Canis lupus familiaris: one gene and its partner. Each later gene encodes a partner of the first gene's protein in a complex. Links are inferred from orthologs where the notes say so. Each region holds a gene or a part of one and is shown on either strand. Other genes may lie near its edges. The genes, in order: AP3M1 and LAMP1.

Evidence for each region.
Region 2: the proteins of AP3M1 (region 1) and LAMP1 are in contact, whole or in part, in a cryo-EM structure (PDB 9C5A), measured with the Homo sapiens proteins. The link is inferred for Canis lupus familiaris from reciprocal best matches to the Homo sapiens genes AP3M1 and LAMP1. Residues at the interface, in NP_001307192.1 of Homo sapiens: Glu178, Tyr180, Phe181, Asp182, Gln381, Val389, Asn390, Arg391, Leu392, Phe402, Lys403, Gly404, Val405, Lys406; in NP_005552.3 of Homo sapiens: Ser410, His411, Gly413, Tyr414, Gln415, Thr416, Ile417.

The regions. Positions count from the first base shown.
Region 1 is NC_049225.1:25,262,035-25,265,853, reverse strand, and holds part of AP3M1 (AP-3 complex subunit mu-1), read left to right. Parts: intron 1-963; 5' UTR 964-966; coding exon 967-1,239; intron 1,240-1,876; coding exon 1,877-2,048; intron 2,049-3,819. UniProt on the Homo sapiens protein: Part of the AP-3 complex, an adaptor-related complex which is not clathrin-associated. The complex is associated with the Golgi region as well as more peripheral structures.
Region 2 is NC_049243.1:60,834,109-60,838,027, reverse strand, and holds the start of LAMP1 (lysosome-associated membrane glycoprotein 1), read right to left. Parts: upstream 2,557-3,919; 5' UTR 2,357-2,556; coding exon 2,305-2,356; intron 1,960-2,304; exon of another isoform or gene 1,848-1,959; intron 1-1,847. UniProt on the Homo sapiens protein: Lysosomal membrane glycoprotein which plays an important role in lysosome biogenesis, lysosomal pH regulation, autophagy and cholesterol homeostasis.

The DNA of each region.
Region 1 (3,819 bases):
ATTTGCAAGGATAATAAAGTTTTTATTTGACATAAAGTTATACTCAGAAAATTGTATGTCACAATATAAAACCCAATGAATTATCAAAATGAATATAACTTATAACTATCATCTAGATCAAGAAATTAAACTTTATAAGCACCTTAGGAAATATCCCCCATCCCTTCTTAGTCACTGCCTCCCTCTCTCCTCCATAAAAGATGGCATTTGATTTCTTAAATCATAGATTAATTTTGTCTGTTCTAGCACCACATATAAATAGAATCATACTTATGTATCCTTTTGCATCTGGCTTGTTTGTTCAATATTGTATTTGTAAGATTCATCCGTATTTGCTTAATTTAACAATAGGTTATTTGTTTTCATTGCTATATAATGTTTCATTTTAATAATATACTATAGTTTATTTTTCCATAGTACTATTAATAAATATTTGAGTTGTTCCAGGTTTTCACTACAACATTACATTTTTATGTGTGTTTTTGGTGCACATTTTTACACATTTATGTTTAATCCACCTGGAAGTAGATTTGTGTGTCATAGTAAGAATATTTTGTAAGTGAAATATAATTCACGTATTATAAAACCCACCATTTTAAAGTGTTTCTTTTTCTAGTTTAAGTCATTTTATTATAAGCAAGTGCTAGACTTTATCAAATGATTTTCCTACACATTTTGAAATGATTATATGTTTTGTCTTTTATGTATACTGTGTGTTACGTTGATTGATTTTCATATGTTGAACCAGTCTTCCATTCTTGGAATAAATCCCATTTGTCAAGGTGTGTAATCTGTATATGTTGCTGGATTTAGTTTGTTGGTATTTTGTCAAGGATTTTTATAACTATTCTTACATGATGCTGGTCTATAGTTTCTTGTATTGCCTTTGTCTGGTTTGGGTATCAGAATAGTACAAGGATACTTTTTGATGTACACTAAATTTAAACTTTTTCCCCCCCCTAGAAAATGATCCACAGTCTATTTCTCATAAACTGTTCCGGTGACATATTTCTAGAGAAGCACTGGAAGAGCGTTGTGAGCCAGTCTGTCTGTGATTATTTCTTTGAAGCTCAAGAGAAAGCTGCTGATGTTGAAAATGTACCACCTGTCATTTCAACACCTCATCACTACCTCATCAGTATCTACAGGGATAAGCTCTTCTTTGTGTCTGTCATACAGACTGAAGTGCCACCTCTCTTTGTAATTGAGTTCCTACATCGAGTTGCTGACACTTTTCAGGTTGGTTACTCATCAAATCTTTTGAATTTAAGTTAAAGTTAGTTGGGGGTGAGATAAATGATTATATTCTCTAAGTAATCAGCTTTGGATGTATCCTGTTTCTTCTTTTCAACTAAGAATAAATTCATAAACCCTTTCTTTGTAGGGTGTATAGCAGTATACATGGCTGTTCCATTCACTATTTCAGTAGAACACCGTAATCTCATGGTCATGGAAGCCATATTTTTTATATGTATTACAAATTGTGTCATCAGGAAACAGTAATGCCCTCCACATACAGTTCTCTGAATGGCCCCAAGATTTTTATTGGTTATGTAATCGTCTTAATATTTACATTTTATTATCTTGCTAAATGTACCAAATAATTGAAAACTTATCTATGTTTTAGGGGTACCCAATCAGAGTAAATTAATAGTTCACATCCTAGTTTAATGTTTCAATGTAATGGAAATTCAATTCAATCTGAAGATATTGAGAAATAGCGTATAGAACTATAGAGGCTTTTTTTCTAATTTACATATTTCAACATCTTAAACAATTAATTATGCTACTGTAAGTTTATCCTTCTAAACAAAGAATGTTTAGCAAGCCTTTCTCCATGCCTTCCATTGTACAATATTATGTACATTTTGTTAAGGACTACTTTGGTGAATGTTCGGAAGCTGCAATTAAGGATAATGTGGTCATTGTATATGAGCTCTTGGAAGAAATGTTAGACAATGGATTTCCACTGGCTACTGAATCTAATATTTTGAAAGAACTGATTAAACCACCAACAATTCTACGTTCTGTCGTCAACTCTATTACAGGTAAGGTGAAAATGTGCTGCCTTAGGAACTAAGCAATTAACACTTTATAAACAACTCCTTGTTGCCTGATCTGGCAAATAATTAAGGTAGTTCAGTTTGGCCAGAGTTAAAGTTAGTAGTATTGTTGAAATGAATGTGTATTTCTTTTCATGAGGAGACTAGGTCTTAAATGATAAAGAAAACTTGATAATTACTCTTTTATTATAGGCTTTTCTATAAGACCACAATAACATTGTTACTATTACTTAACACTAAATAATAAGACTGATTAAATTTTCCCAGTTAATCCTAGAGAAGCCAATATAGTGAGGCTATAAAAGGAAAGCCTATATGTGAAGCTACTTAGAACACTTAATCTATTTATAGACTGGCATTTTAATATTTAAATTAGCATTATTGTATATGATGTGATGAAGATGTTAACTAACAATATAGTGGGTTATAATTGTAGTATATAAGTGTATCAAATCATCATGTTGTATAGCTTAAACTTAACACGATGTTAAATGTCAATTATATCTCAATAAAACTGGGAGAAAAATTAAAATTATAAATAGCATTATAAAACTAGCATTATGTCGTTACCCCCAAATTACTAGGATATAGAAAATTTAAGACTCTCCACCACAGAGTACATATTATTTCCTCCAAGTCTTTGTTTTATACATGCAGAAGATTTATTAAAACAAAAAGATGGGAAATTAGTCTGTCAGTGAGATCTCATGCATTGTGACCTTGTACTTTGTTTTAAGCTTCTTTTTTTTTCTAAAGATGTTTATTTATTTACTCATGAATGACACAGAGAGGCAGAGGGAGAAGCAGGGAGCCTGATGCAGGGCTCCATCCCAGGACCCTGGGATCATGACCTGAACCAAAGGCAGATGCTCAACCACTGAGCCACCCAGGTGCTCCATGTTATAAGTTTGTAATTTTTATTTCTTGAATATAGCTAGAAATTAGGTACATCCAGATGACAGTATTTTTTGAGAGTGTTGAAGTCTTCTAGAGAAAGATTTCTGTGAAATGTTACATAACACACCAGCTCTGCTGTCTACCATTGTAAACCCCGCTCTAAGTGTACTGACCTAAAAAAATGGGACAAGAGAGGCCTATAAGAGGCCTTTATTCATCTTCTGTACAAAGCTGAGCATTAGGAGAAATTCAAGGAAAGATAAGATAGAATGTATGCACCTAAAACTTAGACTCTGGATGGGAGATTAGAAAAAAATTAAAGTATGTAAATAATAATATAACATTGTAAAAGGCAACTCCATACTTTATAAACAATACAGTGACATTGGAAAGTACACATGATATAATACTAAATGGAAAAAATACCAACATAAAACTATAAAAGTTTCTGTTAATTACACAAACATTCCTACAGACAAAAAAGTTCTAAAATATTTTCAATGACCGTCTCCAACTAAGGAACAACATACTATCTTTATTTTTGCTTAATACTTTCTAATTTCTAAAATAAACATGTATTTTATAGTTACTAAAATAGAGAATGAAAATACATAGGTTATTAAGGCAGTGCATTCAAGAGAATGGTTCAGTAGATGAAATAATCCCTCCTGAACTGTGGTGCTTGGCCCCAATGCAGGGCCCTAAAGAATCAGCAGAATTTAGGGAAAGAGGGAGGAATAAGAGCATTCTGTAGATGGAACTATATGAGAAAAAAAACACACAACATGAAAAACCTAGAATTATATTAATTATTTAACAGGAGCAGAGCTGTTTTTTTACTGAGTAATGAGACACAAAC
Region 2 (3,919 bases), on another chromosome or scaffold:
CCTGCTCCAAGCACTTTGTAGTTAACTAAATTATCATGACGACCTCCACAGGTCAATGCTATTATGATTCCTTTGTGCAGCTGTGGAGACGAAGGGACGGACAGGAATGTTAACTTGCTCAAGGTCACAAAGCCAGTGAGTGGTGCTGAGCAATCTGGGATTGGATGACACATCTGAACCGTGCTTTCTAACACTTGCTGAGTGAGCAAACATACTTCGAATTATGAAAGACTCACTTTGAAATGAAGAGACTGCCATCTAAAGGAACGAGTCGATAAACTTCTACATTAAAATTTTTATAAGAGGGGGCTCCTGGGTGGCTCAGTCTGCCTTTGGCTCAGGTCATGATTCCAGGGTCCTGGGATCAAGTCCTGCATTGGATTCCCTGCTTGGTGTGGAGTCTGCTTCTTCCTCTCCCTCTGCTCCTTCACCTTGCTCGTGTATGCTCTCTCTCAAATAAATGAATAAAATCTTCAAAGAATTTTTTTTTTCAAAAATACTTCCTAGTTTGTCTTGGCTTCTTTTAAATCCAGTATTTTTCATCTTAAACGGTAATACATAATCATCTACGAAAATTTAAAGGTAGAAGAACAACAAAAAAAGACCAAAGTTCATCCCTCACATGGAAACACAACCTTTAGAAGCAGGGCTCAGTGTGGACACTTTTAAGGAGCTGATGTATGCATATCTGATTAGGGATTGTTGCTGTCAAACTGGGCATTTACATGTACACACTGAGCACTTACTATGTATGTGCACAGGATGGGCTGTAAGATAAGGGAGGGAGACCTGTGTACAGGTTATCACGGCACAACTGAAATGATGCTCCAGTAAAAGCTCAAGCCACATATGCATGCAGTCAAGTCCCATGGATGCAGAGAAAAGGGAGCGCCTAACAACAGAAGTTCAAAATCTTGGACCCCAAATGTTTTGACCTCAAATATAGTTAAGAATTTGGGGACCAATCCAAGTAACTGACAAAGGTCCCGCAATCATGAATAATACTAAACAGAATAAAACTTTCCAAACATCCTAAGTGACAGTTCTTCATTTGGAAAGGGGAAGGAAATCATCTAGTCGACACCAGTGGTTTAAAGGGTCACATTACGCAATGACACTTAATCCTAAAGGCTGGCCAATTTCAGTTCACTCTCGCCTATGCTTTCTACCAAATAGTCCAACACAAACTAAGCTTTGAGAGTTAGCCAATTATTAATGCAGGTAAGATTAATAGTTTTCATGTTCGAAAAAATTTGTTTTTAGGAAAGATGCTTCTTGGTAAAATAAAGAATCAAAATAAACATTATTTTTAAAAGGCCTACATCCAAAAAAAAATTTTTTTTAAAGATTTTATTTATTCATGAGACACACACAGAGAGAGAGGCAGAGACACACAGGCAGAGGGAGAAGCAGGCTCCATCCCGGGTCTCCAGCATCATGCCCTGGGCCAAAGGCAGGCGCCAAACCGCTGCGCCCCCGGGGCTGCTCCCTACACCCAAATTTAAAATCTTTTCTAAAAGCTGGATTTCATCGGACTGTAAAACCTAAAAAATCCTCCCAAAGAAACGGGCATCAAAAAGCTTCCAACACGCACACTACTCCCAGCTATCACGATGCAGGAAATGAGGCCCGTTACTCCTCATTCTGAAGGCGAGTCTTAAAACCTAACCTACGAGGATCCTTTGCGAATTCTAGTGCGGACAGTGCTGCCGTCCCGACCTGACACTTGCTCGAGCCGTTGCTCCTCTAAACCATTACAGCCGCCGGGGAAGGGCAAAGCTCGGGGTTGACTGCCCGAGTTAAGGTCCCCGTCCCTCGTGGCTCCTCACGCGGTTCAAAAAGCTGACCTTACACGGGCAGGGGCAAGACAAAACCGTGGCACCCGAACCCACCCAGCGACCGGGAAACGCCGGAGCCGAGAGGCCGGGGCCGGGCGGGGATGCGCGGCGATGCGAATCCGCGCCCCTGCCTCGGGGGAGCGCCCCCCGCGCGGGGCGTCCGGGCGTCCGAGCATCCGAGCATCCGCGCAGGCCACCCGGGAGGGCGCACGCACCACGCGGCCCGAGACTGAGCCACGGCTGCCCCGAAATCCACCAACCACTGATTTTCCGACTCATCACCCAGAAGCCGGCCCAGGGGCCCGACCACGGAAGCGGCCCCCGGCTGACAGCTCGCCCCGGCGCTTCCAGCAGGGCCCGAGGGCTCCGCGCCAGACCCCGGGCGCCACCTCTGCCGCCCCGGCCCCGGCCCCGGCCCCGGCCCCGCCGCCCCGGAGCTCCCGCCCCGCCGACCCCGGCCCCTCACCGAGCAGCAGCAGGAGCAGAGGCCGCGGCCGGGCACCACCGAAGGCCGCCATGGGCGCGAGGGCTGTCGAGGCCGGAGCGGGAGCCGAGCGCGTCGGGGCGGTTTGACCGGGGGACGGCGGGCGGGCGGGCGGGCGGGCCGGGGGCTGCGTGAGGGCGAGCGTCCCGCGGTCCAGACACCCGGCCGCTGCGGCACCCGCGGCAGGAAGGAGAGCCTTCGGCCGGCGGCGCCCGTCACGTGAGGCCGCGCCGCGCCCGCGCTGTCACGTGACCCCGCGAGCCTCGCGAGAGCACAGGGCACGACGTCTCCGCCGAGGCGAGCGCTCGCCTCTCACGTGACCCGGAGGCACGTGACCGCGGGGCCACGTGACGCCGGGCGGGCTTCTCAGCCTGGGAGGGGGCGGGGAGATTGGACCTGGACGTCGGCGCGGGAGGCGGGTGCGAGGGAGGGTCCCTCGGCGGCTCCCGGGCGTTGGCGGGAGGAGGAGACGGGCGCGCCGAGGCCTGCAGCCGGAGAAGCCGCCCCGGGGACGCAGCGAGGCCCACCTGGGGCCGCCCTGGGCGGCCGACCCGCGGCGAGTGTGGCTGCGGCTGCGAGGGGGCGGCCCGGACCCGGACGTGCGTGCTCGCGAGATAAGCTGGGCGGGGCCCCGGGGGCTGCGGTGACCGGGGCGGGCCGGGGCGGGGCGGGCCGGGGGGCAGCAGTGGCTCCGGGGCCCCGAAGCCCTCTCCGCGCGCGGCGTGCCTGGAGGCTCCCCGGGTCTGGGCTTCCGACACGGTCCCCGGCCTCGGCCACCTCCAGCCGTGGCAGCCGCGAGGGTCACGGCGCCCCTCCTTCCTCCCCCCTTCCCCTTTTCCTCTTCCCCGTCTTCCTCCCTCCTGCTCTTGTCCGCGCGTCGCGGCTCGGCCCCTGGGAGGTGTCTCTGGTTGTGTCCAGCGCAGACCTGGGGGCCGCTGTCCGCCACTCTCCCGATCGGTGCTCGATTCCCCGCAAGTGTCACGTCCACTTGCTCCGAGTACACGGTGCGGCTTCCCGGCCGCAGACTCCTGCTGGCTCTGCAGTGGGGGCGGGCAGGGCCGGTGCTAGAGCTCGGTTCTCTTTCCCCATGTCCGCGGGGCTGGCTGGCAGCGAGCAGCCCCTAAACTCCTTGTGCGTGTATTGCTGTTGTGCAAATAGTAGTAATTCGCAGGTTTCTCCCCGTGAAGAAAGAAGTGACAAAGGAGAAGAGGGAGGTGAGAATGCGGCCTGTGATGCTGGGACTGGAATGTGCTTCAGGACTCCGAAGGCGGACAGTCACGGAAATAATGGGCGGTACACACGGTGTCGGTGCTCAGGGCACCTTACAGTTCCTGCCCCGTGACCCAGCGGCCGTCCAGGGCGTCCCATTTCCTTTGCCCGTTTATCACACAGGCCCGGGCGTTTGCTTCTATTTCTGTTTCAGTGCAGTTGCCCGTCGTGTCGCCTTTGCCCGAGGACTGGCTGGCGGTCGCCGGCCTGGGGAGGTTTGCCAGCGCAGGGCCTGCCAGGACGCGGGGCGCTCCGTGTGCACTCGGGGTCACAGCTGGGTCCGTGCCACCTCCCGACTGGCATCTGCTATGTGGGGACAAGACTTTTC